Elephas maximus indicus: one gene and its partners. The protein of the gene in region 1 purifies or fractionates together with the protein of each later gene. This does not show direct contact. Links are inferred from orthologs where the notes say so. Each region holds a gene or a part of one and is shown in the gene's direction. Other genes may lie near its edges. The genes, in order: SERTAD4, PPP2R1A, PPP2R2D and PPP2R2C.

Evidence for each region.
Region 2: the proteins of SERTAD4 (region 1) and PPP2R1A purify together in Homo sapiens (affinity purification with mass spectrometry; 3 studies listed by BioGRID and IntAct, counting the BioPlex papers as one, with this or other methods). This does not show direct contact. The link is inferred for Elephas maximus indicus from reciprocal best matches to the Homo sapiens genes SERTAD4 and PPP2R1A.
Region 3: the proteins of SERTAD4 (region 1) and PPP2R2D purify together in Homo sapiens (affinity purification with mass spectrometry; 3 studies listed by BioGRID and IntAct, counting the BioPlex papers as one, with this or other methods). This does not show direct contact. The link is inferred for Elephas maximus indicus from reciprocal best matches to the Homo sapiens genes SERTAD4 and PPP2R2D.
Region 4: the proteins of SERTAD4 (region 1) and PPP2R2C purify together in Homo sapiens (affinity purification with mass spectrometry; 3 studies listed by BioGRID and IntAct, counting the BioPlex papers as one, with this or other methods). This does not show direct contact. The link is inferred for Elephas maximus indicus from reciprocal best matches to the Homo sapiens genes SERTAD4 and PPP2R2C.

The regions. Positions count from the first base shown.
Region 1 is NC_064836.1:21,604,324-21,611,720, forward strand, and holds the start of SERTAD4 (SERTA domain-containing protein 4), read left to right. Parts: upstream 1-4,379; 5' UTR 4,380-4,726; intron 4,727-7,397.
Region 2 is NC_064829.1:94,755,215-94,763,147, reverse strand, and holds the start of PPP2R1A (serine/threonine-protein phosphatase 2A 65 kDa regulatory subunit A alpha isoform), read left to right. Parts: upstream 1-4,930; 5' UTR 4,931-5,010; coding exon 5,011-5,088; intron 5,089-7,933. UniProt on the Homo sapiens protein: The PR65 subunit of protein phosphatase 2A serves as a scaffolding molecule to coordinate the assembly of the catalytic subunit and a variable regulatory B subunit.
Region 3 is NC_064834.1:81,628,255-81,635,197, forward strand, and holds the start of PPP2R2D (serine/threonine-protein phosphatase 2A 55 kDa regulatory subunit B delta isoform), read left to right. Parts: upstream 1-3,930; 5' UTR 3,931-4,089; coding exon 4,090-4,096; intron 4,097-4,169; coding exon 4,170-4,262; intron 4,263-6,943. UniProt on the Homo sapiens protein: Substrate-recognition subunit of protein phosphatase 2A (PP2A) that plays a key role in cell cycle by controlling mitosis entry and exit. Involved in chromosome clustering during late mitosis by mediating dephosphorylation of MKI67.
Region 4 is NC_064823.1:165,453,963-165,461,578, forward strand, and holds the start of PPP2R2C (protein phosphatase 2, regulatory subunit B, gamma), read left to right. Parts: upstream 1-4,610; 5' UTR 4,611-4,731; coding exon 4,732-4,801; exon of another isoform or gene 4,802-4,849; coding exon of another isoform or gene 4,850-4,877; intron 4,878-7,616. UniProt on the Homo sapiens protein: The B regulatory subunit might modulate substrate selectivity and catalytic activity, and might also direct the localization of the catalytic enzyme to a particular subcellular compartment.

The DNA.
Region 1 (7,397 bases):
TATTTATTGAATGCTTTCAGAGTACCAGGCGCTGTGCTAGGTGCTGGGGATACAGAGATGAATAAAAAAGACAAAAATCCCTTCCCTTGTGGCTCTTACTTTCAAGAGGGAGAAGATAAATGGTAAGTAACATAAACACATAAACTGTAGACTTAAGGTTGTTGTTGTTAGTTGGCACCTAATAGATTCCAGCTCGTGGTGACCCAATGTATGTAGGACAAAACTGAGCTCCCCAGGGTTTTCAAAGCTGTGACCCTTTGGGCCTTTCACTGAGGCACCTCTGAAGGGGTTCCAACAGCCAACATTTCTTGAGTGCTTAACCAGTTACGGAAACCCTGGTCGTGTCGTGGTTAAGTGCTACAGCTGCTAACCAAAAGGTCGGCAGTTCAAATCTGTCGGGCGCTCCTTGGAAACTCTACAGGACAGTTCTACTCTGCCCTATAGGGTTGCTATGAGTTGGAATCAACTCGACAGTAGTGGGTTTGGTTTTTTTGGTTTTTAACCAGTTACACCCCCCAGGGGTGCCTGAGATTGAAGTGTAGAGGAGGCCAAAAGCTGAAGCAGGGAGCTCAGTTCGGAAGCTCTTATCATAATCCAGGCAAGGGATGGTGATAGTGACTTAGACCAGGGTGGTAGTAGAGATGTGAAGAGGTGAACAGGTTCTGGAAAATTTTTAAAGGTAGAGACTTTAGGATTTTCTGATGTATTAGATGCAGGGTGTGAAGAAGAAAAAGAGAGAGAGAGAGAGAGGGTTGAGCATAACTCAAGGTGTTTTTTTTTCCTGGGGAACTAGTAAAATAGTGTGGTTGATTGACTGGGATGGAGAATATTAAAGCACAGGCTGGGGGTGGAAGGAGACATAGGTAGTCAGGAGTTCAATTTTAGGTCTGTGAAACTTGTGATACCTATTAGACATCCCAGAGGAGCCTGGAGATCCAGAGAGAGGTCTGGGCTAGACATACAAATTGCGAGTCAGCAACATATAGATGGTGTTCGAAGCCATAAGAATGGGTATCAGCATTCTATAAAGAAGAGGCAAGGTTCAAGGTCTGAGCTGGAGGCATGCCAGCATTAAGAGGTTCCAGAGAAGAGGAGGAACCAGCAAAGGAGACTGAGCAGGAACAACCAGTAAGGTGGGAGGCAACCCAGGTAGGTATGCTGGCCTGGAAACAAGAGTAAAAGGTGTTTCAAGGAGTTCGTTGTTGTTAGGGATCCCTGGTGGCATAGTGGTTAAACCCCTTGGCTGCTAGCTGAAAGGTCAGCAGTTTGAACCCACTAGCTGCTCCACAGGAGAAAGATGTGGCAGTCTGCTTCTGTAAAGATCACAGCCTTGGAAGCCCTAAGGGGCTGTTCTACTCCGTCCTATAGTGTTGCTATGAGTCGGAATTGACTCAGTGGCAATGGGATAGGTAGGTTGTTGTTAGTTGCCACTGAATCAGCTATGATGGTGACCCTATATATAACAGAACAAAACATTGCCTGGTCCTGCACCATCTTCAGGATCAATGGTATGCTTGAGTTCACTGTTTTGACTGGAATGATCAACTGGATCAAATGTTGCTTACAGGTCAAGTAAGATGAGAACCAATAAATGACCTTTGAATTTAGCAAAATTGAGATCATTGGTGACATTGACAATGGCAGGTTCGATGGAGTGGTGGATGAAAGCCTAAATGGAGAGGGTCCGAGAATGGGGAGAAGAGGAATAAGAGAGATTGAGTATAGATGACTCTTTTTGCTGTAAAGAGGTTGCACATTTTCAAATAAAAAGCTAGAAATTCAGGCTTTTCATTAATCCAAATGGGCATCATGTCCTCATCAGTCTGCTTACGTAAAATTTTTCTTGTTAAATGCCCCTTTCCAATGATAAAACATTTTTGCAAAATGTATTTCAGCAGTTTTAAGTCTGGCACTCTGTTCACTGAAGAAAAACAATCACTACCTTCCGTGAATCTGCAGATCAAGTTATTTTAAGTTTTATAATCAAACTTCTATCTCAGAACTTCCTACACACACATATGCAAACATATCCCAAGGTAATGACCTCATAGTTCTCAGGTTGGATATCGTAACTTCATTATAAATTGCATTCACTCATTTCAAACATTTCATTATTGATTTAGTTATTTCTTTTCCTGTGCCATAACCACTGCCAACTCACCTTAAATGCTTAAATGATGTTTCTCATTCAGTGAAAACTTAACTGCCTTTTCTACTTGTAGACACGGGTTCATGATGTCAACAGTTGGGCATTGAATTTCAGAAAACATTAAGCCTGAGATTAAAAGCAGGGCAGGGAAAGCTATCAATAAAACATGCTAACCTAAGGTATCCAAACAGGATAGGGTCAAGTTCATACTCAGATCCACAAGGGTGCTGTGAAGTACAATGATTTGATACTTGTGTTATGATGTCATTTTGTATAACATTAAAGCGCAGAGTCCTCCCACCCAAGGGCAATGCAATTTCCCAGAAGGCTTGTTTCTCAGAGCCAAAGCTGCAAAGATGCCAGTGCAACCCATGCTGTTACTTAGTCTCATCTTATTTCTCAATTTTATGCTTAATTTGCTCCTTTTGGTTTTATGTATTTTGACATAGCCAAGTAAGTGTATGTGGGGATGTCCCCCATAGTCCTTTAAATGCCATAAAACTTTAATATAGAGAGATAAAAACAGTAATAAGCCATGCCTCTAAGCCCAAATATTTACTTCCTTATTTGAGTTAGACACTAACTAGTTTTAGATACTGATTTTGGTTTTCAAGTACTTGCCCTGCTTTAAATGCCCTTGTGCCCTTTCTTACCCTCCTTACCCACAATATGAGGATTGTATTCTACCCTAAATCAGGGCACGGAGTTCCCATTGATTGCACAAAATGGCATCACTGCAATTCTTAATCCATCAGCCTACATGGTGCATGGGCCAATGCAATTTAGTATGGCTCAGAATAAAGTCAAGATGCCCAATTCCCAATTTTAGACATGCAACCCTGGAATGTCTTCTGGAAAAAATGAAATAATGCTTCTGAAAGTCTGTCGGGTTAGTCGGTTTGCAGCATAATTGCCTTTTCTCAGCTTTCTAATACCCAGAAAACCTTTGAGAGTCTTTAATGTACAAAGTTCAACAAAAATAACTTCAAAACAGATTAGTTCTAATTACGTTTAATATTTGTTTGCTGTGTTATTGAATAAACCACGTGCTTTAAAAAAAAATTCACTTAACTGTATGTCAGTCTCCCAAATTTTAAGTGTACAAATGAAATGGAAAACATTTATTACGCAAATTTAATTACAATTCTAAGAAATAAACATGCAAATTAGATAGAGTTCAATTTGCAGATGCTAATCCTCATCCTTGATCTCATTCCTTTCCTCCCTGGTTTTCAGTCTGTGTGTCTCCTTGATTCCTAGGGTGCCAGGCAGCAAGAGGTTGGATTTTTCACAGTCGGAGGATCACTGTTTTAAAGAAGTGTTATATTTAGCACATCTGGCATAGTAGCAGTAAACAAACATTATAGTCTTTGAAACACTTCTGCGCAGGTGTCTTCCCCTGACTTTATTAGGTCTATGCCTTCTTTTTTTTTTTTTTATGCCTTCTAAGCCTCTGCATTCATTACACCTGAAATGACCCATCTCGACTATGGAGGGGTCCCTAGACAGAAGTTATGAATTAATGTTTCAGAAAACAAACCCCAGTTGAGCCCAGTTCAAGGGAGAATAACTATTTGCAAACTAATGTGATCCCAGGGCTTAAATTACACTTCCCTTGACAAAAGACAACCTCCTTTATTACTTTTTTTTTGGGGGGGGGCGGTTTTCCCTGGAGGCTCCCCACCCAGAAAGATTTGCCAATTCAAGTTGCAGCAGGACCAAGATTGCTTCTTTATACAAACGCAGCTCAGGAGGGGAGCAGGCGAGGGCAGGCGGCGAGGGGAGAGTAACTGTTTGGTCCTGCAAAGACATCTGTTTCTCATCTCCGTTTGCTGTGGCGAAGGAGAAGAAAAGTCTTTTGCAAAGGGTGGGAAAGGCACAGTTTTTTTTTTAATCACACACACACACACCAGTTTTTTACACACACACACACACGGCCCAAAACTAGACCAAATTAAAAAAAGACATCCCAGAAGGTTGCAGAGTGAACACATTATTTGGCTGAGGCCAAGCCTTCAGGGCTAGGGCTGGAGCCCTGGAGCGCGTGGGGTCTGGTCTGCGGGCTGGAGCTGGGCCGGCGTGTCCCCGGGCACCGGGAGGAGAGGGGAGGAGAGAGAGGAGGGAGGGCGGGAAGGAGGCAGGGGGCGGGCTGGGGTGGGGGTGAGGGGAAGGCGCCCGGTGTGCTGCCTGAGGAGCGGCGGCGGCGGCGGCGGGAGCGGAGGGAGGGAGGGAGAGCGGGCTCTCTTGTCATGTTCCCTCTCTCGCCCTGGGGGCATCCTGCAGAACCTCTCCTCGGAAATCCACGGGGAAATGGCAAACAGGATTGACGGGTTTCACATGCTCCTCGCTAGACAGAGCCGCTCATTACCGTAACCGTCTGCAGCGACGGCGGCGCGGCGCCCCAGACGCGGCGGCGGGACCTGCCGGGACGCTCGCCTGGGCGCACCAACCGCCACCTCTTACCCGGCCGCCGCGCGGGGACTGGCGCGAGCGCACGGGCGGCCGGCTGGTGCCGCGCCCAGAGCGGACAAGCGGGAGCTGGAGCGCTGCGGCCGCCGCCTCCTCGCTGACCCCGCGGTAAGAGACAGGCCGGGAGCGGGCCGCGGGGGCAGGAGGCCGGAGCGGCGGAGGGCGAGGGCCGGTCCCCGGGGTGAGGGCTCGTGCCGACCGACATCCACGCGGCCTCCCGCGCGCCTGCCCCCAGCGCTGCGCCGGAGACACCGCGTGGACTCGCACCAGCCCGGGCGGGGCCGGGGGCGGCCTGGGTTTCTCCCTGGGCCGGCGCGCGCCGTGGCGCCTTTCCCGGGCAGGAGTCGCCGCCGCCTTGAGGGCTGCTTCGGTTGCTGCCCGCGCGGACATAGCCGAGTCTAGGGGCGGGTGGAAACCGCACCTCTGGTGGGACCTCGGTCTCCCTAGTCCCCCATCCTAGCGGACGGGGGCCCGTATCCGGGATGCCCCTAGGTCTGGACGCCGCGGCGATTAGCAGGTGGGGAGGGAGGGATGGTCGATGTCAGGAGCGCGCGTTTGCAAGAAAAAGGAATCGCTGCAGAAGCTGACACGTTCTGTCCCCCGCCACCTCCGCCCCCGCACCTTCCTCCCCGTCAGCCGAGCCGCGCTGCGGGCGGCGGCGGCTTCTCTGTCCTCAGCTCACCTCCCCGGCGGGCTGAGGCTGCTGCCCGCCGGTCCACGCCTCCGCCTCTCTCCTCCCTTCCTCCCTCCCGCCTCCTCGGTCTCAGCAACTTTCCGGAATGCCCGCCGGTGCCGCGGGGATGGGGGGAGAGCGGCCGGGGCTGCGGGTGGCGGGGACAGGACGGATGCCCGCGGGCGGCGCGGGCAGCTTCCTCGGGCCCCGGTTCTCCGGGCGCGAAGGGCGCTCCCGTGGCCGCGGACTCTGAGTGGACTTGGCCGGCAAGGGAGGGAGGGCCGGGCCGGCGTCTGCTGCGGACTGGAGCGCGGGGCCCGGGCCAGCCTCGCCAGAGCCCTGCCAACGCCGTGAGTCATTTCCTTGGAATTCTACCTTTGCTGTTTATTTCCCTTAGAAGAAAACTTGTCTTAAAAAAAAAAAAGGGAAGAAGAAAGAAAGAAAATAAAGAGAGTAAGAAAAATAATAGCTGTTATTCTTCAGAAGAGGCACACGGCTCCCGCACCGCGTAAAGACAACTTGCCCTTTGTTCCCAGACACTTGGGGGTGTTGTTTACTTTCCCCTGTGGACGGCGCCCAGGCGGGCGCTGCTCCCCACCCTGGAGAGGGGTGAGGGGCTGCAGCACCGACCCCCGGGGGTGTGTCTGTGGGGTACGCAGGACAAGGTGGCCGCCGCCCTCCCGCAGGGGTCGGTCTTCCAAACCTCGGACTTTCCTGTTAGGTTTGGTCTGGGGAGAGCCAGCGCCAGGGTTTGGCCATCCGGGCCTCCCTAGCTCCCCTCAGACCCTGGATCCACATTCCCAGCCCCAGGATCCGACCTGAAGGCTCCTGACCTCCAGGGGCTGCAGCTGAGAAATGTACTCCCCGAGGTAGACAGGTGCACTGCTGGGACTGGCAGAGAATGCTTCTGTCAGCTTAGAAGGATTGAAGGATTCGGCACTGCCCTTGCTCATCCCACCACCACCACCACCACCACCACCAAAAGCTGGACAAACTGTTGAAATCTTGTCACCGACAAGGTTGAGTTCAGGGGCTTGATTCCATCTGGGCAGGATACTTAAGACTGGGAGTGTCAAAAAGGAAGTGGAAATACCAACCCTTTCCTTCTCTCCTTTTCACTACTGGAGTCAGAACTCCAGCTGCCCTGATGCTTTTAATAAAATGTCCTCTAATTACCAGTGATGTAGGGGGAGAGTGAAGAATGACCAGGAACCCCTTTAGACTAAAGCTGACCAGGAATCTGGGATACCCTGTGCTGTTTGTCAGCCACTTCTATTAGCATCATCATGGCGGCTGGGGTAAGAATAAGCCCAACTCATCTGAAAAAACCAAATTATGTAGACATGCCAGGTAACTGTACTATGAATATCTGCTGGAAAAGCCTGACATTTTAGCCCTCATTCTTCTGGGAATGCTTGAGGTGTCATTCCATTACATTCATCTGGCTTATAAAATAGACCTGCAGGAGCCTAAACGTAAAGAGTTAGGTTTTTTTTTTTTTAACCCTCATGAGTTAGAGGTTAAGAGCTACAGCTGCTAACCAAAAGGTCGGCAGTTCAATTCCACCAGTCGCTCCTTGGAAACCGTATGGGGCAGTTCTGCTGTGTTCTGTAGGGTCACTATGAGTCAGAATCCTTTCCACGGCAACGGGTTTGGTTACAGGTTATAGACGCAACACACGTTAACACCCTCCTTTTGAATCCACTTACCACTGATGTTAAAAAAATTTTTTTTGCCATAAATATACATCTTTGTGGATCTTTTTAATATTAACAGCACATAATTTTATGGACATGAACTTCTGAGTTCGGTAGCAAAATTATAATGTAAATATCATCGTACAGAGAGTAATAGTTTGGATCTGTACATATAATACAAATAATCATGTGAAACACTGGTGCTTAACACTCTGGATTCCAATTTTTCATGAACGTTGAGCCTGCCTTCTTAATTTAATGTCCCACTGTAAGACTCAATTGCAAAATCTCCCTGCTCCCAAATAATTCCAGTTCATTCATGTTTTATTCAGACTTACATAAATCACTTACAGAACTTACACTCTCCAGTTTAAGATTTTGTGTATAGAAGTTTCCAATTAAAAACAGA
Region 2 (7,933 bases), on another chromosome or scaffold:
TGTATGTGCAACAGAATGAAAAACTGCCCGGTCCTGCTCCATCCTCACAATTGCTATCAGGCTTGAGCCTATCGTTGCAGCCACTGAGTCAGTCGATCTTGTTGAGGGTCTTCCTCTTTTTCACCAACCCTCTATTATCCTTGTTTCTAAGGAACATTCTGGCTGTACTTCTTCTGAGACAGATTTGTTTGTTCTTCTGGCAGTCCATGGTATATTCAATATTCTTCACCAACATCATAATAATTCTTTTGTCTTCCTTATTCATTGTCCAGCTTTTGGATGCATATGAGGTGATTGAAAACACTATGGCTTGGTTCAGGGGCACCTTAGTCCTTAAAGTAACATCTTTGCTTTTTAACACTTTAAAGAGGTCTTTTGCAGCCCAATGCACTAGGTCTTTTGATTTCTTGACTACTGCTTCCATGGGTGTTGATTGGGGATCCAAATAAAATGAAATCCTTGACAACTTCAATTTTTTCTCTGCTTTCCACGATGTTGCTTATTGGTCCAGTTGTGAGGATTTTTGTTTTCTTTACGCTGAGGTGTAATCCATACTGAAGCCCGTGGTCTTTGATCTTCATCAGTAAGTGCTTCAAGTCCTCTTCACTTTCAGCAAGCAAGGTCATGTCATCTGCATAATGCAGGTTGTTAATTTGAGTCTTCCTCTAATCCAGATGGCACGTTCTTCTTCATATAGTCCAGCTTCCCAGATTATTTGTTCAGCACACAGATTGAATAGATATGGTGAAAGGATTCAACCCTGATGCACACCTTTCCTTAAGTCACACAGTATTCCCTTGTTCTGTTCCAATAACTGCTTCCTGATCTGTGTACAGGTTCCTCATGAGCACAATTAAGTACTCTGGGATTCCCATTCTTCGCAGTGTTATCCATAATTTGTTATGATCCACACAGTGGGATGCCTTTGCATAGTCAATAAAACACTGGTAAAACATCTTTCTTGTATTCTCTGCTTTCAGCTAGGATCCATCTGACATCAGCAATGATATCCCTGGTCCTCTTCTGAATCAGGCTTGAATTTTTGGCGGTTCCTTGTTGATATACTACTGCAGCCGCTTTTGAATGATCTTTAGCAAAATTTTACTTGTGTGTGATATTAAGAATATGGTTTGATAATTTCTACATTCAGTGGGATCACCTTTCTTTGGAATAGGCATAAATATGAATCTCCTCCAATCATTGGCCAGGTAGCTGTCTTCCAAATTTCTTGGCATAGATGAGTGAGTACTTTCAGTGCTGCATCCATTTGGTGAAACATCTCAGTTGGTATTCTGTCAATTCCTGGAGCCTTTTTTTCACCAATGCCTTCAGTGCAGCTTGGACTTCTTCCTTCAGTACCATTGGTTCTTGATCATACGCTACCTCCCGAAATGTGTGACTGTCGACCAATTCTTTTTGGTACAGTGACTCTGTGTATTCTTTCCATCTTCTTTTGATGCTTCCTGGGCTGTTTAAAATTTTCGCTGTAGAATCCTTCAATATTGCAATTCGAGGCTTGAATTTTTTCTTCAGTTCTCTCAGCTTGAGAAATGCTGGGTGTGTTCTTACCTTTTGGTTCTAACTTCAGGTCTTTGAACATGTCATTATAATACTTTACTTTGTCTTCTTGGGCCGCCCTTTGAAAACTTCTGTTCAGCTCTTTTACCTTATCATTTCTTTCATTTGCTTTAGCTACTCAATGTTCAAGTACAAGTTTCAAAGTCTCTTCTGACATCTATTTTGGTCTTTTCTTACTTTCTTGTCTTTTAAATGACTTCTTGCTTTCTTCATGTATGATTTCCTTGATGTCATTCCACAACTCGTCCGGTCTTCGGTCATTACAGTTCAATGTTGTTGTTGTTGTTAGGTGCCGTCGCGCTGGTTCCAACTCATAGTGACCCTGTGTACCACAGAATGAAATACTGCCTGGTCCTGCACCATCCTTATAATCATTGTTATACTCAATGCATCAAATCTATTCTTGAGATGGTCTCTAAATGCAGGTGGGATATACTCAAAGTCTTACTTTGGCTCTTGTGAACTTGTTCTAGCTTTCTTCAGCTTCAACTTGCACTTGCATATGAGCAACTGATGGTCTGTCACTTTGTCTTACTGTGGGGGTTTGCGTGCTGCTGTAATGCTGGAAGCTGTGCCACTGGTATTCAAATACCAGCAGGATCGCCCATGGCAGACAGGTTTCAGCTGAGCTTTCACATTAAGACAGACTAGGAAGAAGGACCTGGCAGCCCGCTTTTGAAAAAATTAGCCAGAAAAAGCCTTGTGAATACCAGCGGAACATTGTCTGATACGGTGCCAGAAGATGAGCCCCTCAGGTTGGAAGACACTCAAAAGACGACTGGGAAAGAGGTGCCTCCTCAAAGTAGAGTCAACCTTAATGACGTGAATGGAGTCAAGCTTTTGGGACCTTCATTTGCTGATGTGGCACAAGTCATGAGAAGAAACAGCTGCAAGCATCCTTTCATTTGGATGATAATGATACCACCTTATGTCATAGATCTGTTTTGAGCATTAAATGAATTAATTCATAGAGTACATTTTGTTGTTGCCGTCGAGTTGATTCTGACTCATATTGACCCTATAGGACAGAGCAGAACTACCCCATAGGGTTTCCAAGGAGCAGCTGGTGGATTTGAACTGCCAACCTTTTGGTTACCAGCCTAGCCCTTAACCACTATGCCACCAGGGCTTCATTTTACTACAATTATTATCATTGCATTGATATTTTAATTGTATAGGTAGTTCTCAAATACTTATTAAAGTTTGTGGCTTTGTTTTGGCATTTTGGAACCAAAAATTTCTTCTTTTTGTCTCTGGGGGAAAAAAAAGTGTTATAGGCCTTTGAAAATCCCTGTGTGGCACAAAGGGTTTGTGCTCAACTACTAACCTAAAAGTTGGAGGTTTGAACCTACCCAGTGATGCTGCAGAAGAAAGCCTGGAAATCTGCTTCCTGTAAAAATTACAGCCTTGAAAACCCGTGAAGCAGTTCTACTTGTAACATATGGGGTTTCCATGAGTCTGAATGGACTGGACAGGAAGGTTTTTCCTAGGCACCTAAAGGTTAAAAGGACCCCAGCCCAAGATCCCAAGCAGTCTGACATCAGGGCAGGCATCCTTAGGTAAGAAGATCCATGGCTTCAATGGGCTTCAGTGGGGAAGCCTGGGTATATGAAGGGCAGGGGCTAAAATATGTACCCCTCCCCAAGGATTAGTTTCCTGACTGGCATGGCATGGCTGTTTGGAAAAGATACTTGGGATATTCATACTTGTCAAGGGGCCCTAGCTCAGCCCAGCCCTTCAAGTGAGAGTAATAAAGCGGGAAGGGTCATTTCAGGCCTTCCTATCCCCTCCAGCAGGACCCTCAGTAAGGGTGGTCCCAGGATTTCACGTGCAGGGCTGTTCAGAGAGAGGTTGGGAACAGATCCGAATCTGACCAAACCCTGCTCCCATTCTATGGAGGAGGCAGATTGCAATACAAAGGCACAGCTCGCTCTAGGGATGAGAACTTTGAGAGAGGGATGTTCTTTGGCTCTGGAGGGCCGGAGGACTGAACCTGAAGGCAGGGAAAGCAGGGAAGGCCCTTGGTGACCCCTTGTGTTACAGAGTAGAACTGTGTTCCATAGGGTTTTCTTGTAAATCTTTACAGAAGGAGCTCTGGTGGCGCAGCGGTTAAATGCCTGCCTGTTAACTGAAAGCTTGGCTGTTCAAACCCACCAGCTGCTCCACAGGAGAAAGATGTGGCAATCTGCTTCTTTAAAGACTGAGAGCCTTGGAAACCCTATCAGGCAGCTCCACTCTGTACTATAGGGTCACTATGAGTCAGAATCAACTCAACGCAACACAATGGGTTTTCGTTTGTTTAATCGTTACAGAAATAGATCGACAGGACTTTTTTCCAAGGCACCACTGGGTGGATTTGAAGTGCCAACCTTTAGGTTAGTAATCGAGCACAAACCATTTGCGACACCAAGGAAAGAGAAGACATTTATGTACAGTGCACTCCAAGTAGAAAGTACAGCTCGAGCAAAGGCTTGTTGGCATGGAAAAGCAAGATGTGCACCCAAACCAAACCCGTTGCCATCTAGTCAGTTTCAACTCATGGTGACTCTGTAGGACAGGGTGGAACTGCCCCAAAGGATTTCCAAGGAGCGACAGGTGGATTTGAACTGCCAACCTTTTGCTTAGTAGCCTGAGCTCTTAACCACTGTGTTACCAGAGCTCCAAGATGTGCAAGATGTGCATAGATGGCTCTAATTTTCCAGAACTGCTGGAGGGTAAAAACGAGAGGGGAACGTAAGCACAGTAATACCTATTCAAAACCACAACAGTTTTTAATTTAAATACCAGCTCGCGAGGCTTGCGTTTTATCCAGGGAGCAAGGCAGGTCGCCACCCTTCCCTGACCTTCGGTTTCCCCGGACATAAATCAAGGACCCTTTCTCTCCCCTCCTCCTTCTCCCGCAAAAAAGTCCAAGAGAGTCTGCCGCCAACCAGCCTGGCCACCGCCTCACAAGTCAAATCCCTCAGACTACCCGGGTCACCCCATGACGTAATTCATCCCTAGCGACGCACGCGCAGAACCCTCCTCCCGGACTCGCCGAAGGACAGGCTTCGCCTCCTCCCAATCCCGTCTCTCATTGGCTAGAATCAACTGTTCGTCTCTGCCGTTGTTAGCGGCAACGTAGGTGGGCACAATCCTGGTCGCTAGGATACCGCATACTTCCGTTTCCTTCCCACTCTCCAAGGCTTCTTCAAGTCCAATCTCGTCCATTCGACCAATGGCAAATGGACAGTAGGCGGGACTTTATTTGCCCGGACCAACGAGACGCAGACTTGGCCCGCCGTAGCACGGCCAATGACCGTAGGGCAGCCCCTGTAAAGTGGCTCGGGCGCCCCCACGCCCGTCTTTCCTCCTCCTCCCAGCCCCGCCCCTCCCCATCCCGGTTTCAGCCCGGCGCTGGCCGCAGTCTGACAAGAACGGGACAGAGCGAAGATGGCGGCGGCCGACGGCGACGACTCGCTGTACCCCATCGCGGTGCTCATAGACGAGCTCCGCAACGAGGATGTTCAGGTCCCGAAGCTACAGGGGACTCGGGGAAGACGGGAAGGGGGACGTAGGGGCGCGGGCGATCCTCGCGGACAAGGCTCAGTGTTCGCTGGGAGTGGCGGAAGGGGGCGCCGGCCAATCAGCGCCCAGTTCTTATGTCTCCGGTTCCCTGAACCCGATGAGACAGTGTTCTGGATTGGGTGTCGACACAGCGGAGGGCGGGAGCGCGGGCCGAAGGGTCCCAGGCCTGCCAAGTGCGCGCGGCGGCTCCGGGGGTGGGAGGCCAAGGCCACGCGGGGAGGGGGGGTCTGCCACCTGGGTGGGGGAGAGATTGGCTGTGGCCCAAATGGTCCCTTGGGGATGGGCTGGGCGCGTGACTAGTTCCGTGGGGGAGGGGCCTCCTGTTTGGCTGGGTCCCGGGTAGGTTTACTCTTTCCTGGGTTTGGGCATCTGGGCCGCAGTGCTAGGGGATCAGCTCTACCCAAATGGTACCGATGGCTGAAGGCTTTCTTCCCAATTCCTGCGTTCCCCCTTCCAATGTTGATGTAGACGCCCGAAGAGGAGGGGCACGGAAAAACAATCCTCTAAGGAGTGAACTAGCCAATTTTAGAAGCGAATTTTGTAGAAACCCGCTCTCTTCTCCCCCCAGTTTTCCCATTGGATGGGGGATGCGCAGTTTCCTAAACGTGCTATATTTTTGTGATGAGCGAGGCGTATGGGAATAGGGGGGCCCAGAGCCGTGAGCCCGTCTGGGGAGGAATTGAGAAGAGTTAAGGCATCTCTGAAGAAAGGACTGGCGATCCGCCTCCCAAAGGTCTTAGCCTTGAAAACCCTATGGAGCAGTTCTACTGTGCGCACATGGCGTCGCCATGAGTCAGAATAAAGTTGATGCAAGTTAACAACACGGCTTCGTGGTTAGTAACCTGAGTGCCCTTCCCATGTCCACTTCCCTCCAGTTGTGTGACCTTCGCACATTACCACACCCTTCTAAACCTCTGTTTGCCATAATCGTGGCCTAATGATAGTCCTGGTCTCCTTGGGTGGTTGAGAGAACTGAACAAGTTAATAATGCAAGTAAAGCTTGGCCTATTGTAAGGGCCCAATAAATGTTAGCTGTAATTATTGGAAGTGGTGATTGAAGATGTCCCATCTTTTGGGCCTCAATTTCCCATTTGTAAAATTGAGGGAAAGGGGTCCACTTGGAAAGCGGCGCTCAGGCTCCGAGGCTCCAGACTCTTGTTCTGGAGTCAGACAGGCTCTGCTTGTATTCCTGGCTCCTCCCCCTTACCAACTGACAGGAGCAAGTTAGTTAATCTCGCTAAGCCTTGGTTTCCTCTTCTGTCCAATGGGGATAATTACCTAGTTCGTAGGGGTGTTCTATGAATTGAGTTGTTCGATAAACACTTGCCATGTATCTGGTAAGGAGCCTTGGTGGCAGGCACAGTGGTTAAAGCGCTCGGCAACAGGTCACCTGTTCACCCAAAGGTTGGTGAAAGGTTGGTGCTGGCTCGGAAGAAAGACACTGCAGTCTGTTTCCTTAAACATTACAACCTCGGAAACCCTATGGGGCAGTTCTACTCTGTCCTACAGGGTTGCTATGAGTCAAAATTGACTCCACAGCAGTGGTTTTTGTTTTTTTTTTTAATGTATCGGATAGGAGTACCTGGGTGGCGGAGATGGTTAAAGCGCTCAACTGCTAGCCAAAAGGTGGACAGTATGAACCCACTCACAGGTGCTTTGGAAGACAGGCCTGGCCTGACCTGGCCTGGCAATCTGCTTCTGAAAAGTCACAGCCTTGAAAGCAGTTCTACTCTGACACACGTGGAGTCACCATGAGTCGAAATCAACTCCAAGGCAACTAACAACAATAATAACGTGTATCAAGTGTGGTGCTGGGAATATAGGTGGCACCAGCTACTATGCAGGAGACAGGTGTGAAGCATGTGAACATCGTGTGAGAAGTGGTGGGAAGGAAACAAACAAGTTGGGTTAGTGAACTAGTAAATATCTGTTGGGCCTCTACTCTTCTACGGGGCACTGTTCTAGGCACAGGGATACAGCAGGGAAAAAGGCACAAAAATTCCCAGCTTCTCAGAGCTTAAGATGTAGTGACAATAAACAAGACAGTAAGGAAAATGTATAGTACGTTAGAAGGGGATAAGTAGCATGGAGAAAAATAAGGAGAGATGGGGTGCGATTTTTAGAAGAGTGCTTAAGGTGGCCCTGCTGAGGAGACATTAGAGCAAAGACCCAATGGAGGCAAGGTAAAGAGCCATGAGGCTCTCTGGGCAGAGGACAGGATCCGTACAAAGTGGGGTGGGGGCGATCCATTTTAGGAGATGCAGGAAGGCCTCTCTGAGGCTGTGAAGCTCAAGAGAAGGTGAAGAGCCTTCCAAGAAAAGACATTTAATGGCAATAGTTCTCAACCCAGGGTGATTTTGCCCCTAAGGGGACATTTTTCAATGCCTGGAAACATTTTGGGTTGTCACAACTGGAGGAGTCCTACTAGCACCTAGTGGGAGAGATCAGAGATGCTGCTAAACATCCTGCAATGCACAGCATAGCCTTCCACAACAGAGCTGTCCAGCCCAAAATGTCTGTAGTACTGAGGTTGAGGGGGGCTGCCTTCTGGGAAAGCCTGGAGGCGCAAAGGAGCTTGGTATTTTTAGGTTTCTTTTCTTTATTCCAGTTCTATTGCTGCTGTAACAAATGGCCTAACTTAGTGGGTGGATGGTTGTCGGTGTGTGCCACTGAGTTGATTTCGACTCATGGCAACCCTATGTGACAGAGTAGAATTGCCCCATAGGGTTTTCTAGGCTATAATCTTTATAGAAGCAGATGACCAGATCTTTTCTCCCGCAGAGCAGCT
Region 3 (6,943 bases), on another chromosome or scaffold:
TGAAGACATACAACATTCCCCTGGCTCCAGTGAAGACATACAACATCCCCCTGGCTCCAGTGAAGACATACAACATTCCCCTGGCTCCAGTGAAGACATACAACATCCCCCTGGCTCCAGTGAAGACATACAACATTCCCCTGGCTCCAGTGAAGACATACAACATCCCCCTGGCTCCAGTGAAGACATACAACATCCCCCTGGCTCCAGTGAAGACATACAACATCCCCCTGGCTCCAGTGAAGACATACAACATTCCCCTGGCTCCAGTGAAGACATACAACATTCCCCTGGCTCCAGTGAAGACATACAACATTCCCCTGGCTCCAGTGAAGACATACAACATTCCCCTGGCTCCAGTGAAGACATACAACATCCCCCTGGCTCCAGTGAAGACATACAACATCCCCCTGGCTCCAGTGAAGACATACAACATCCCCCTGGCTCCAGTGAAGACATACAACATCCCCCTGGCTCCAGAAGGGTATCTCTTGCTCTTTCACAATCAGCCTCCTCCCACAACCATGTTTTTTCCTGTCTCCATATTATAAGCGATCTAAACGGAGGCTCAGCAGTCAGACTGTTTAAAAAATAATTTTTTTTCATCTAGTAGATTCTGACTCCTGGTGACATCATGGAGAGGAAGGAGTCGCCGGATGGGTGACACAAACGGTCAAACGCTCGATGACTAACTGAGATATTGGCAGTTTGCACCCACCCAGAGGCACCTCAGAAGACAGGCCTGGTGATCTGTTTCCAAAAGGTCACATCCTAGAAAACTCTATGGAGCAGTTCTACCCTGCACGCACGGGGTGGCCGTGGTCGGAATCACCATTTACAGCACGTACTCTTTTGTGTCTAGTTCCTTTTGTTCAGCATTGTATTTCTGAGATTCGCCCCTGTCGCTCTTAGGAGTAATTTGTTCTTTTTCGTTACTAAATAGTATTCCGTTGTGTGAGTACAGTACACTAGACTCTAATACACACCAGACACTTCACAACTCGCGATGAGCTCTAAAAATTATGATAAGGAAAAAGAAAACTGTCTTGCAATACCCAAGACTTGTCAACACCAATTAGAATGCAAACAGTGAAATTCACAGAGATATTTAAAGCTCTTTATTATCACAGAAAAGAAGAGTTAAAACTTCTTGCAGGCCAGCTGACGCAGGGTGGGTCCCAAGGAAGACAGCTCACTATTGTCAGGAATATGCTACTTCTGTGGACCACACCTTGTCTTTTAATGTAATTTAATGGTAGCCAATACGTGAAAGAACACATCTGAACCAAGTTATCTTGCCATCATTTGAAAAGACTTATCTTTCCACACATAATGGTAAAACGGAACAAAAAATAGTAAACCAGTTACCGTGGCGTCCACTCCGGCCCACGGTGACCCACGCGTGTCAGAGTAGAACTGTGCTCCACAGGGTTTTCAGTGGCCGATTTTTTGCAAGTAGATCCCCTGATCTTTCTCCCGAGGCACCTCTGGGTGGACTGGAACCTCCAACCGTTTGATTACAAGTGAATGCGTTGGCCCTTTGCACCACCCAGGGACTCCTTCCATACACAAAGCAATTACACAGAAGACAGTCTGATAGCTGGCCAACGTTTCAGTTGCGGTCACCGTCAGGCTGGACAAATCTGCACATAAAAAGGGGAGATTATGGCGCCTTGTCTCTGCTTCTCCTGACAAGGTTCCCGAAGGGCTGTGGTGCTCACTGCCCCCACCACCGCCCCCCCCCCCCCGGCAGCTGCTCTGGGCTTCTGGGCTCCTACCGGGGAAGCTAAGGTCCACCCTGCAGCCTGTCTGATGCCACCCGCCTGCAGCACTGGAGAGCCACAGCTCCCATCCCGTCCCTGGCTCCCCGCCCAGCTCCAGGAAGGCTGCTCCTCTGTCCTCCATTCTCTGTTCCCACACCCTTCCGGACTCTGACCTCGGTTCTCTTCCCCATCCACCCCCGTTCCTGGTGATCTCACCATTCCAGCCTCAAGATGCTGCTGACCCTGAGTTCACACTCCAGCCCCAACCTCCCTGTGATCCCGGCTCGGATGTCTAGCTGCCTTTGCCACCACTCCCTCAGCTGATGGCCACCCCTGGGCCTGTACTGCCACACTGCTCCTTCTGTGGTCCTTCCCTCCTCGAGCTAGGGCTGCAGACCCCAGGAGTGCAGTGGTCCCTCGGTCCCTTCTTCCTCTACATCCATCCCACCTGCACGCCCACCCAAAGCCCTGCCTTGGCAACACTGCGGCTCTGAAATCCAACCGTTCTCACCGTTCTCACTTCACACCCACGTCCACACCCCTCATCACCTTGCCTGGACCCGGCAGTGGTCCCTCACGGGTCTCCTTGCCTTGGCCCTGGAGTCCCTCCTTCTGTTCTCAGCACGGCAGCCACAGTGGCCTGTTACAGCCCCATCGGTCACCACCCTCCCCTCCTCATCACCCCCATAGGGTCCCCCACCCATCAGAATCCTTGAATGGGCCCACATGGGCACACCCTCCATTCTCCTCGCCTTACCTCCCTGTCTTCACGTCTACCTCGTCTCCCTTCACCCACTTTGCTCCCCCACCCCCGGCCTCCTGCCTTGCTGCTCCTTGCTTGTTGCCAGATGCACGCTGCCCCAGGGCCATTGCACCCGCTGTTTCCACCTCCTGGCACAACCTTTCCCAGATATTGCACGGCTGGCTCCCTCAACCCCTCATGGTCCTCCTCATCATTCAGTTTAAAATTGCAAGTTCTCCCCACACACACCCCAAATATACGCCCTTTGCCCGATCTCTACCTTATTTTTCTATCTAGCACCATGTGACTTATTACATAACTTGCTCTTGTTGTCGCCGGAATCCCTGTCTGAAATATAAGCTGGGGAGGTCAGACTCTCTGCCCCCGCCGCACCCTGGCAGCTGGAGCAGGGCGTGGCCATCAATAACCGTTCCTTCAGTGAACGGAGACTCTAGGTCCTTGTTTCTCCTGATTTGGAGCATTGTCTTCTAACTGTGCAATGCGACCACCGCCAACTCTGCAACATCACTGATACGAGTTAGGACTCAGATACCGGTGAAACCCATAAATGAATGGGTAATCTCTCGGATACCAGAGAAAACAAACCCACAAACGAAGAAGAGGCCAGCCACGTTGTATTTCAAACCAAAGGTTTTCATCAAAGTGTCTCCCTAGGTAGCTCCAAGAATCCCTGAGCCGCCGACTTCACAGACACAGGCGAACTCGGCACGGGGTTCTGGCCGCGAACCTGCGGACTCGCCGCGCGGGCCGGGAAGCCCCACCCGTCCGGACATCGCCGTGCCTAGTGCGCCCCTGTTGGCTCCTTCCATTGGCCGAGGCTCCAAGGGGCGGGCCAGAGCAGCACTCAGGCCTCGCCCACCCCTGCCCGGAGGCCACGCCCACCCACCCCCAGACAGCCCTGCGCCGAGCGCGCCCCCATTGGCTGCTCCGCGGCAGGGCTCGCAAAAGGGCGGTGCTCCAATTGGTCGAGGTCCGAGGGGCGGGGCTCAGACTGGCGGTGGGGCACGCCTGAGAGCGAGGCTGAGTCAGCACTGGAAGTCGAGTGTCCACCCTGCTTTCGAAGCCTGTCCACTGGGTGCTTCGGGGTCGCCGCTTCGAGCCCTCTACACCCTCCCTGAGAGCGGCCCCGCAAGTGTTCTTCCAAGGAGCTCCGGACACCCGCCGGCCCGGCGCTCCTCCTGCGTCCCTAAACCGTCTCCTCCCGACCGCGGGTCATGGGGCGGGGAGCGGCTCCGGGCGCGCGACGGCGTCTCGCGCAGGCGCAGTCCACGCGGGGCGCGTCGCCGACAGCCCCCGGGCCGCACGCCAGCCTCGCCCCGCCCTCCCGGGACAGGCCCCGCCCCCGGCCCCGGCCCCTCTCACTGGAGGTGGAGGGATGACGTCATCGAGCGGGGCGACGGGCATTGGGCGCCATTTTGAAAAGGGAAAAAAAAAAATCACTGGCGGAGGCGACTGCCGGGCTGAGGTTCTCGGGAGGCGGTAGCGCGGCGGCTGCTCGTTCCGTGCGCGCAGTCGGCGCGGCATCGTCCGCCCGCCGCCGCCTCAGCGCCGGCCGCCTCGGCGATGGCAGGTGAGGGGCCGCGCGCCGGGGGCGGGACGGGCGGGGGCGGGGGCCGGGCCTGATGCCCCTCGTGTGTTTGCAGGAGCCGGGGGCGGCGGCTGCCCCGCGGGCGGCGGCGACTTCCAGTGGTGCTTCTCGCAGGTGAAGGGGGCCATCGACGAGGATGTGGCGGAAGGTAAGGCTCGGCCGGCCCGAGCGCAGCTCCTGGCGTGACGGGCACGTCCCGGCGCGCGGCCCCGCCTCGGCCTCCGCGCGGTCCCGCTGGTGCAGTGCCGCCCGAGCGGAATCGCGCCGGGCCCTGCAACCCGGGTCCGGGTCACTGTGCGCGCCTCCGGCCGCGGCCGCACCTCGGGCCCCGAGAGGGACCGGCCCGAGCACTTCCCGGGCCCCCGGCGCTCGCGGGCCTCGGAGGGCGGCCCAGGTACAGGCTGGGGCTCAGGCCGGAGAGGGGGACGGCAAGCCTGGAGGGGCCAGACCGGGGGGGGCGATAGAGCCGCGGGGGACGGGCCCGGGGCACAGGTCGAGGGGCGACAGAGCCGCGGGGGACGGGCCCGGGGCACAGGTCGAGGGGCGACAGAGCCGCGGGGGACGGGCCCGGGGCACAGGTCGAGGGGCGCAGACGTGCGGGTACAGGCCTGGGGCACGGGCTGGGGGGCGCAGACGCGGGGGGACGGGCCCGGGTTCAGGTCTGAGAGGGACAAGCCGGCACTCGCCCCGCTCCCCGGGACCACGCTCCCCTCTGCCTGGTGGCCATGGTGGCCTGAGGAGTCGCCCCGTGGGGACGGCTGCAGTGGGGCGCTGTTCTGTACGTGATGGTTTCTTGGTGCGCTCACGGATGTGTCATTTTTAATGGGATATTGGCTGAGAGGGGTTATGTAAGTAGCCTAAGGTCACAGACCGGGGGAGTGGCGGAGACTGGATGAGAACGGGGGTATTTTGAGCCCAGTTCTGGGTTCTTCCCAATGGAAGTGGCCCCCGCCTCCTGTATTTGGTGGAACTAAGAAAATAACTGCAGAAGTTGGGGACTCAGGATACTTAAAATCGGGGTGACTGTACTTGAGGATTAGGGACGGGGCCCACGGTTCTCTAGACCCCAGCGCAGTCTTTAATCTCTCTCTTTTTTTTGGCTCAGTTTCTTCCTCTCTAAGAAGAGAGTTGGTCTACTGGATTCTTAAGACTGCCTTCTAGGGTTCTAAAATTATTGAATTCTACCACCAATCTTGATGTCTGTTTCTTTTTCCCTTTTAGGTTTTAATCTCGAACCTTATGGCATTGCATTAAATTGGCTGGTGGTTTTTTCACAATAGTCTCAAGTGGGCTAAGGCTTAGAGTTTCAGGACTGGGTGGGAAACTCCGTAGGGTGTACCCTGCCTCTCTCAGCTTCCCATGAAGCCACATGTCATCTTAAAGGGAAAAATTGAGTGTAAAAATGATTTTTAGAGACTGAGAAGTTTAACATTTTAGGTTTAGAATAATAAACTTTTTTTGTTGTTCAGCCATCTTACTGAACATTGTGAGCCTTTCACTTTTCAAGAGTGAATTGTCATTGGCTGATGCTTTGCACCAAGTTCATCTTCCCTGCCCCAAGTAACCTTGGCTCTTCCTGTGCCCTTTACTCCCTCTGCCTGCTCCCTGTGCTTCTTCCTGGCAGTGTCTCCTTTGATGCATGACCCTTGGGGACATCTGCGAGCCTTGGCCCATGGGACAGACAGTGCCCAGATTAGGGAAGTGCAGTTGTACTCTAAGAAATTTGTGAAGTCGTGTATGGTTTTTGGTTGTAGCTTGATGATTTTATATAGTGTAAATAAGCATAAACAAGCACGTTGATTCTGTTTCCTTTGGATCAATCTAAAATATGTTACTTTTGTTGTTTGATTTATGTCCCAAGTAGGGAACAGTTCACCTTTACCCAGGTGAAGTGGTGATTTCTATCGAGAGGAAAGCAGAAAATGTTTGTTTGGTGGCAGAGCTTAAGGCCTGTCTTAGTTTCTGGTTTCTTTCTTTTTTCTAGAAGTTTTTATTGCCAAGTTAAATGAATAGAAATTTAAATATAACTGAAATGGTATATTTTAAGTGTGACTTGATACTTTGAAGATGGCATTCTTTCTCTTACAAGAATGGGGACAGAAAGGTTTTGTTCTCAGAATTAAACTGATTAGAAGTTTTTGCAGCCTTAAACCCCGGTTTTGAGCAGAAATTTGAGCTCATCTAGAAGTTTCACGTTTTGGAGTTGCCATCATTTTGGTGACTGCTTTGCGCTGATAGTGTGTGTATCGCAACTTTCTCTTTTAACCCACTCAAGGGGTTAGTCACTTGGCAGGGTTAACACATTTTTAGGTGTTCTTTACTTTGTCACATAGTTGTGATATGAATTTGAATTGCATCATTAACGTAGAGTTTGACAGTAACTAAGGAAAATGCAATCTTTAGCAACTGGTAATTTTTAAGCAACATGTAAAAAGAAGCTGGCAGAATGCTTTGCAGAAGAATTTCTGGCCCAAACTCAACCTTAATGAAGACATTTTGATGCTCAGAGAGTTACTAGGGAATGGGTAGGTAGTTCGTGAGAGGGACTAAGCTTTGACCGGAGGACTTGGGGTGCGCTGAAATCTGAACGAATGCATGGCTCTGAGGCGTGCCTGCGAAGGCTTTATTTTGGCCTGAGCTTTACCGTGAGTCAGCCTTAACCCTACGCTTTAGACCATGTTTCTGCATTCCTTTGGGATGGGTGATAAGAAAGGGCATTAGAAATTGAAGCTAGAGACCTCACCTCACTTCAGTGAGGGTGGTATCTGCAGAGGTAGAGGGGTTGGGGGAAGGAGGGTTAAAAGTAGGCACTCTGAACTTTGAAGATTG
Region 4 (7,616 bases), on another chromosome or scaffold:
TGTGGCACGGCTGGGTGCATTCAAATCTCCCACCTTTAGGTTAGTAGTCGAGCACAGACCATCTGTGCCACCAGGGACCCTATCGTGACACGCAGGCTGAGCCAGATGGAGGAAAAATGGCATAGGGAAGCATCACGTGCAGACGCATCAAGTCTTGAAGGCCTGCTATCTTGGTCTCCAGGGGCCACCACAACAAAGCACCACAAAGTGGGCTTTAAGGAACAGAAGTGCATGGTCTCAGTTCTGGAGGCTGGAAGTCCGAGTCAGGGTGTTGGTAAGACCCTGTTCTCTGCAGTCTCTAGTGATAGATCCTGTCTCTTCCCTCCTGGCTTATGCCCCCTGCTTGGTGAGCTGCTTGCGTCAGTTACCAAGGCTGAACAGACACACGCCGTCACCAGTAGTTCCCCTGTGAGTGTGCTCACCCAGGTGCGTGCACGGCAGTGCAGAGACGCAGCAGCACCGTTCACAGCAGCCGCCAAAAGGAAAACCACCCGCAGTCCCTCAGCAGCAGAACGGGTGGTAGTCTATTTCCACAACGGGATATTACACACCAGTGAACGATGAATAAATTACAGCTACACACATCCAACAACACGAGTGCATCTGTTGAGCAATGGAAACCAGAATACAAAACCATTCATACCCTATGACTCTAGTAAGCACCATGACAGCATCAGACGCCCAGGTGGTGTCACCTTTGGGTAGTGACCCGGGGTGGGGGAGTAGGCAGTGAGCCTGCCACGGGAGGCTGGCAGTGCCCTGTCCTGACTCGGGTGGCAGTCATGTGAGCGTCTGCTCCGCGGCGACTCATGGAGGTGAACATTTAAGTCGTGCACTTTTCTGTGCATGTTGTTGTTGTTGGGTGCTGTCGAGTCGGTTCCAACTCGTGGTGACACTGTGTACCACAGAACGGAACACTGCTCAGTCCTGAGCCATCCCCACAATTGTTGCTACGCTTGAGCCCATTGTTGTAGCCACTGTGTCAATCCAGCTCCTTGAGGGTCTTCCCCTTTTCGGCTGACCCTGTACTTTACTAAGCATGATGTCCTTCTCCAGGGACTGATCCCTCCTGACAACATGTCCAAAGTACAAGAGATAAAGTCTCACCGTCCTGACTTCTTAGAAGCATTCTGGCTGCACTTCCAAGACAGATGTGTTCGTTCTTTTGGCAGTCCATGGTATATTCAATATTCTTCTCCAACACCACAATTCAAAGGCGTCAATTCTCCTTTAGTCTTCCTTATTCATCGTCCAGCTTTCACATGCATATGAAGTGATTGAAAACACCATGGCTTGGGTCAGGCACCCTTTAGTCCTCAAAGCGACATCTTTGCTTTCCAACACTTTAAAGAGCTCTTTTGCAGCAGATTTGCCCAATGCAGCGTGTCTTTTGATTTCTTGACTGCTGCCTCCGTGGGTGTTGATTGTGGATCCAAGTATAATGAAATCCTTGACAACTTCAGTCTTTTCTCCATTTATCATGATGTGGCTTATTGGTCCAGTGGTGTGGGATTTTTATTTTCTTTATGTTGAGGTGTAATCTTACTGTGTGTGTGTTATACTTCAACTAGAACAAACTGGGGAACAGAAGGAAGCTGAGAACAGCTCTTCAGGGAGGACTCGTGGGGCAGTGGAGAAGCAGCCACGGGGAGGAGGGGAAGAGAAGGTGGTGTCACCAGGGCCATGGGACAAGTGGGGGCAGTGGCAGGGTGGGAGCCGCTGAGAGCCCAGCCAGGGGAGGAAGCTGGCAGTGCCTCCACTGGTTTCAGGAGCAGGGAGACATGATCCAGCTGGTGGGGCCAGGCTTTCTTCTTCGGGGAGCAGGGCAGGGTGGTGGTAAGGAGCTGCCTGGGAGGGCTCTAGCAGGGAGCGGGGGATGGCCAGTGTAGACATGTGTTCTTTGGCACTTTGCTGGCAACACGGCGGAGTTGGAGGGTCCCACGGAGGCACGGGGACAGGAGGGTGTTGAAGTGGAAGAGACCTTGCAGGTTACTTGTCCCTGCCCATCTCTGCACCTTGCTGACACACCACCTTATTACAGAGGCCCCCATCCACTCGCCCCGCCCTCCGCTGTCCAGCCCTCTCTGTCCCTGCACCCCGCTTTCTCTTCCTCATAGCACTCATCAGGACCCCCTCCCTGAGTTACGTGTGCATTTTGCATTGACTCTGCGGCCCCTAGAAGGTCAGCCCATGAGAGCTGGAGTCCATCTGCTCTGTCCCCGCTCTCCCGAGCCAGATGGAGCCTGCACGCAGTCGAGCTCTCCCACAATTGTCATGAGTGAATGAGTAGGGGGCCTACAGAGGGAAAGGCTGGGGATGTGGACAGTCCTGTGAGGTGTCAGGGGGGAGGGCAGTGCCTGGTCACAGCCCTCACCACTGAGAGGGACATGGGAGACAGAGATGGGTGTGTGGCAGTGGGTGCTGGCCAAGAGAGGTGTGGAGGCCTGTGTTATGAGTGGGGGCTGGGGATGAGGGGGTCCGGGAGAGGAGAAGTCTAGAGGGAGGGGAAGGAGACGGCACGGGGGCACAAGAGACGGCTGGAACCACGAGCCCCGTGAGCTTGGAGATTTCCAGCTTTGGAGCCTGAAGCCTGGCTTCGAACCAAGGAAGCAGGTGATTGCAGGGTGGGATTGGGGCAGGCGTTTTTCCTTGGGTCTGGGCACCCAGGAGGGTGAAGGTGATGCCACTGTGGAGTGGGGGTCTCAGCAGAACTGACAGGGCAGAGAGGAAGGGTTGGGGAAACCGGGGCGGGGGGTGCTCAGAACAATCAGAATCGTGAGGGCTAATGGCAGCCCAGTAGGGCCAGGCCCCTGCTAAGATGCTTCCAGGCCAGACTGTGTAGCCCCAGCCCTCGCTGGCCTCCAGGAGGTGAGCCCAGCCTACCTGTCGGTGTCCCTGGGTGGAGCCAGGGGAGTGAAGAGGGCAGGGTAGAGCATGGGGTGCTGGGTTTGGATATGCAGTGCAGGGCAGGTGAGGAGGCTGGGTGATAGGGAGCGAGGAAGACGAGCCTCGTTCCTTCTGGGTGGGGGAGATGCCCCAGGTGTCAGCCCCCTGGATGGTGACTTGGGCCAAGCAGGACCCAAGGGCCTGGCAAGACCCAAAGGGCAGGTGCTGGGGCTGGATACTGCACCAGAGGACGCTTCATTTGGTCCTCGCACTGACTCTGCATCCCTGAGCTATGAGGTGGGCGAGGTGGCACCGGTGGGAGAGTTGGCCCGGAGCCTCTGGGGGGGGTCCATTCTGAGCCCTTCCTTGGAATGAAAGCCCAGCTCCAGTGGAGACAACCCTCCCACTCCAGCAAGAAGCCTAAGATGGCATCTCCACTTCTTTCTCACAGCCGTTCCCTCCCTGTGCTGACCCCCTCTGGACCCCCAAGGCAGCTGGTTTGGGGAGCTGGCTGGAGTCCCCGAGAAACCAGTGGAGAGAGGAGTGGAGAACTCTCAGAATTGGGGACCTGAGCGAAGCCAGCTTCACACCCCCGCCCAGGCCTCCAGCCAATCTGGATTCTCCCCAGCATTCATGCCCTGAAGGGGATCTATACCTCCCTCCCCCTCCCTTTCTGCAGAGACTCACTGAGCCCCTGGAGGGCCTGGTGATCCCTGTCCCTGGCCCCCACCCCTGAACGCTGGATCCCGTGCAGTAAAGGGTCTGCTCGGAAGAAGGGACAGGTATGTCGGAGGGCCCACCGTGTGCCCCGCACTGTGTCAGGGCTGGGGGTGGGCACCGGGGACTACAGGGCCCAGCTGGCTCTGCCCCTTTATCTCACCAGAGTCCGGGTGGAGCCTGAGGAGAGGTACTGCTCCGGCTGGGGGAGCCAACACCCCCCAGCCGTGTCTTCCAAAGTTTTGGCCTGTTGGGTGCAGACTGCCCCTCCCTCAGCTTCTTCAAGGGGACCCCGTTTTGTGCACAGGGCCCCAGAACTCGTGGGACGCAACGTGTTCCACCTGCTGTCCCACCGGACAACGAAAGGGCCTAGTCCCATTCCTCGTCTCCCTGCCTCCGCGGTCTCCCATTCTGCGGGGGAGGTGCCACCTCCGGCTTTTTTTTTTTTTTTTTTTTATAATTTCATTGCTGCGCCCCCCACTTCCTGCGCGTCCTGTAGGGTCTCTGCCCTCTGCCGGCGAAGCTGTCCGCCCCTCTCATCCCCCGCCCCCGCAGGCCGCCTCTTCCATCTCAGAGCACCTGGCACCCAAGGGGGCCCCACGCCCCGAGAGGACCAGCCCCGGCCGCCTCCTCCCGCCTTCCCCGCGCGCACAGTGCCATCCCAGGCGCCGCGCCGCACTCCCGAGGCCCGAGCTCCGCCCGGCGCGGCTCCTCCCGCAGGGCGCTCGTGGGCCGGGGCGCAGGGGGCGGCGCAAAGGAGGGGCCTGCGACGGCGACAGCAGCGGCGGCGGCCCGCCCGCGCACCCGGCTCGGCCCCGGCTCGGTGGCGCAGCGCCGCGCGCGTTCCCTCCCCGCCCGCCGCCGCCGCCGCCGCCGCCGCCGCCGCCGCCGCGGGCGCAAGACGCTGAGCGCGCACGGCCCCGGGATGCGCGCCCAGCCCCCGGCCCCGGCCCGCGCGAGCCCCGGCGCGCCCGCCTGACCGCCGGCCGCCATGCCCGCCCCGCGCCGCCCCCGCGGCCCGCGCCCCGGCTAGGTGCAGCGGCATGGCCCGCGCGCCCGGCGCCACCCCTGCGGATTGCATCGGAGCGCGGCGGCGGGGCATGCCCAGGGCACCGGGCACGGCCTTCAATGGGCGAGGACACGGACGCACGGAAAATTAACCACAGCTTCCTGCGGGACCACAGCTATGTGACCGAAGGTAACGTACGTGTGTCTGAGACCCCCTCCGGCCGCCCGCGGCGTGGGGATGCCGTCGCACCCGATGCCCTCTGAAGGTTTGGACCGCGCGCTGTGTGTTTGTCCACCGCTCCACCCCACCCCACCCCACCCCACCCCACCCCACCCCTTGCGGGGCCGGGAGGGAGCCAGCGCCCCCTCCTCCGAGCCGCCCTCCGGGAGGCGCCGCGGGAAGTGGCTTGCGCCCCCGGCCCGCCGTCGTGTTTAAAAAGGCCACCGGGGCGGGTCTATGGAGATATCCAGGGAAAGGCTGTGTCCTCAGAGCCTGGGCCTGGTTTCGGCCCTGCCCAGAGCCCGCAGAATTTTCTAGGCTACCCACTCCCGGGAGACGAAGAGGGACCCGGGAAAAACCCATCTGCCCATCCTCCCGGGCTCGGCTGCCGCGTGTCCCCAGAGGCAGGGTCCCTTCGTAGGAGGGAGAGGCCGCTGGTTCCGGGCTGGTGTTTTATTCCTGTGGTTTATACTGAGACGGGGAAGCTTGCCCCAAACTGTCAGGATTTCCCGAAAAGTGGGACAGGTCACCCGAAACGGGCCCTCACAGCTCAGCTCGCACCTCCATCGGGCTGGTGGCGTCTCCAGGCTCGGCGCCCTCTTTACAGGCCAGGAACTTCCAGGGATGCTCTGTGCTGACCTTGCCCAGGGGACAGTGGGGAGAGCTCCCAGCCCATCTAGGAGGGGGAGATGAACACATTGGGAGTCAGCGTGCTGCGGCGGGGACACTTGTCCGAGGCCTTCCTCGGCGCGGGGACCATCAGCATCTTTCCCAGGGGCTGCCGGACCGGCCAAGGAGGGGCTATGGGCTTTTAGCAAGGAAACCCGTGGGTGCCCCGGTGGGCAGGGTGGGGGCCCTGGGGGCACCGAGTCCCCGGGCATCGCGTCCTGTGGGGGGTGCGGAGGTGGCCGTGGCCGCGAAGCAGGGTGGGCCCGCGGCGGTGACAGGATCCGCAGTCGTGTCCACCGCCCGACACTGGCTCCGCCGGAAATGAGGCCAAGCTGGGCCAGGAGCGCGCGGGGGCTGGCGGCCCCTCCGGCCAGGCGTGTGGCGGCGGTGGCTCGGCGGCCTGGAGCGCAGCCAGGTGTCCACCTGGGCGCCTGGGCGGAGGATGCAGAGGCCTCGCGTCCGCGGCGAGAACCGCTGAGTCACGCTTCCCAGTGGGATGGGGCGGGGCGGGGCGCCGGGGCTGCGGGAAGCTTCGGACCCGGAGCTGACAGCGAGCCTTGACGCCGGCCTCAGCGTGTGTCCTAGGGAGCGCCTGGGGGTCAGGGGCCTCAGAGGTGCTGGCAGGCGCCCCTGGGCCTGGCCCTGGCCGAGGGGCGGGCGTCTTGGCGGGTCAGCTCCTCCCCCGCTATCCGGCCAGCCTGTCAGAGGGAAGCGTCTGTTTTCTCACCTGTGCTATGGGGACAAGGGCACAGAAGCCCAGGGCATGTGGTTGGTCCAAACCGAAAAGCAGTGCTCCTGCCCCATAGTGGACTTTTACAAAGGTTAATTCCTTCCTCCCACCCCTTGCCAATTATCTTTCAGAAATTCACCAGCTTTTAGCAGGGGAGAGCGGGGGAAGCCGGCAGTTGCAGGAGTAAGAGGCGGTGACTTTTAATCCGTCATCATTCGAGCATCCATTCAACAAACACTTACTGAGCACCCCCTGCTTTAGCCCTGGGGGCTGGACAGAGGCCTCTGCCCTTGTGCAGCCTGTGTTCTAGCAGCGAATCCCTTCTCTCCAAGTCTCGGTTTTCCCATCTGTGAAGTGGGGAAACTTGCCTACAGGGTCTTGGGTTTCCTGTGAGGATGGGGTGAGACCCTGTGTGAAGGCACTGTAAGATGTTAGTGGGCGGCCCACGTGTCAGTGCTGGGGCCTCACACATGATCTCACCTCCACCTCATCCCCATTTTACAGATGAAGAAACAGGCTTGGCCTTTGTCCAGGCCCCAGCCTAAGGGCAAGTGCGTGTGAGGAATAGGGCTGAGGTGCTCAGGACTCAGAGACGAGCCAGGTCAGAAGTCCTGCCCTCCAGGAGAACACAGTCTAGTAGAAGACACAATGACAACAGTTATTAGAAATATCCCAGAATTCTGGGCTCTCTAAATGAAAATGGACTTGACACACTTGCATCCCTGGCTGCATCTTATGCCCAGAGCATAGAGTGGGTCACAGGTTTGGATGTCAGACAGACTTGCCTTAAAATCCTGCTTCTGACGCCTCACCTGCTGTGCAGCTTTGGCAGGTCACTAGCCCTTTCTGAGCTTCGCTCTCTCCCTTCATAAAGCGGAGCTAACAAAGACCTCTCTTACAGGGTGGTTGGCGTGGTCAGTGGTCATCATGTGTAGAAAGCACCCAGCAGGGTCTTGGCCTGTTTAATAAATGGCACTGTTAGAATTGGAAACTTTTGTTTCTGGAAGACCTTTGTGGGCAAATAGTGCGTGCCGAGACTCACTTGGCAAAAGACCCAGGTGTGCAGACTCCTCGTCTGCCGGGTTGTGGATCCACAAGCGCTCGTTGCGCCCCAGTCGCTCTGATTTACTTCCGGTCCCTTGAACCGGCCATTTTCTTTCTTGCTCCAGGGTGTTTGCTCTGGCTGCTCGTCTGCCCAGAACACCCACCCCCTGCTCTTCTCAGGGCTGACTCCTTCTCATCCTTTGGGTCCCAAGTCAAGTGTCATCTTCGCTAGTGGGAGCCCTACTTGAGTCACTGAGTCCCTTCTTGTAAAGTCCCAAATACCTTGAGAAAATTTAGGCTTTGTTAGTCATTCATACTTTAGTGTGAATTAGTCACACTCAT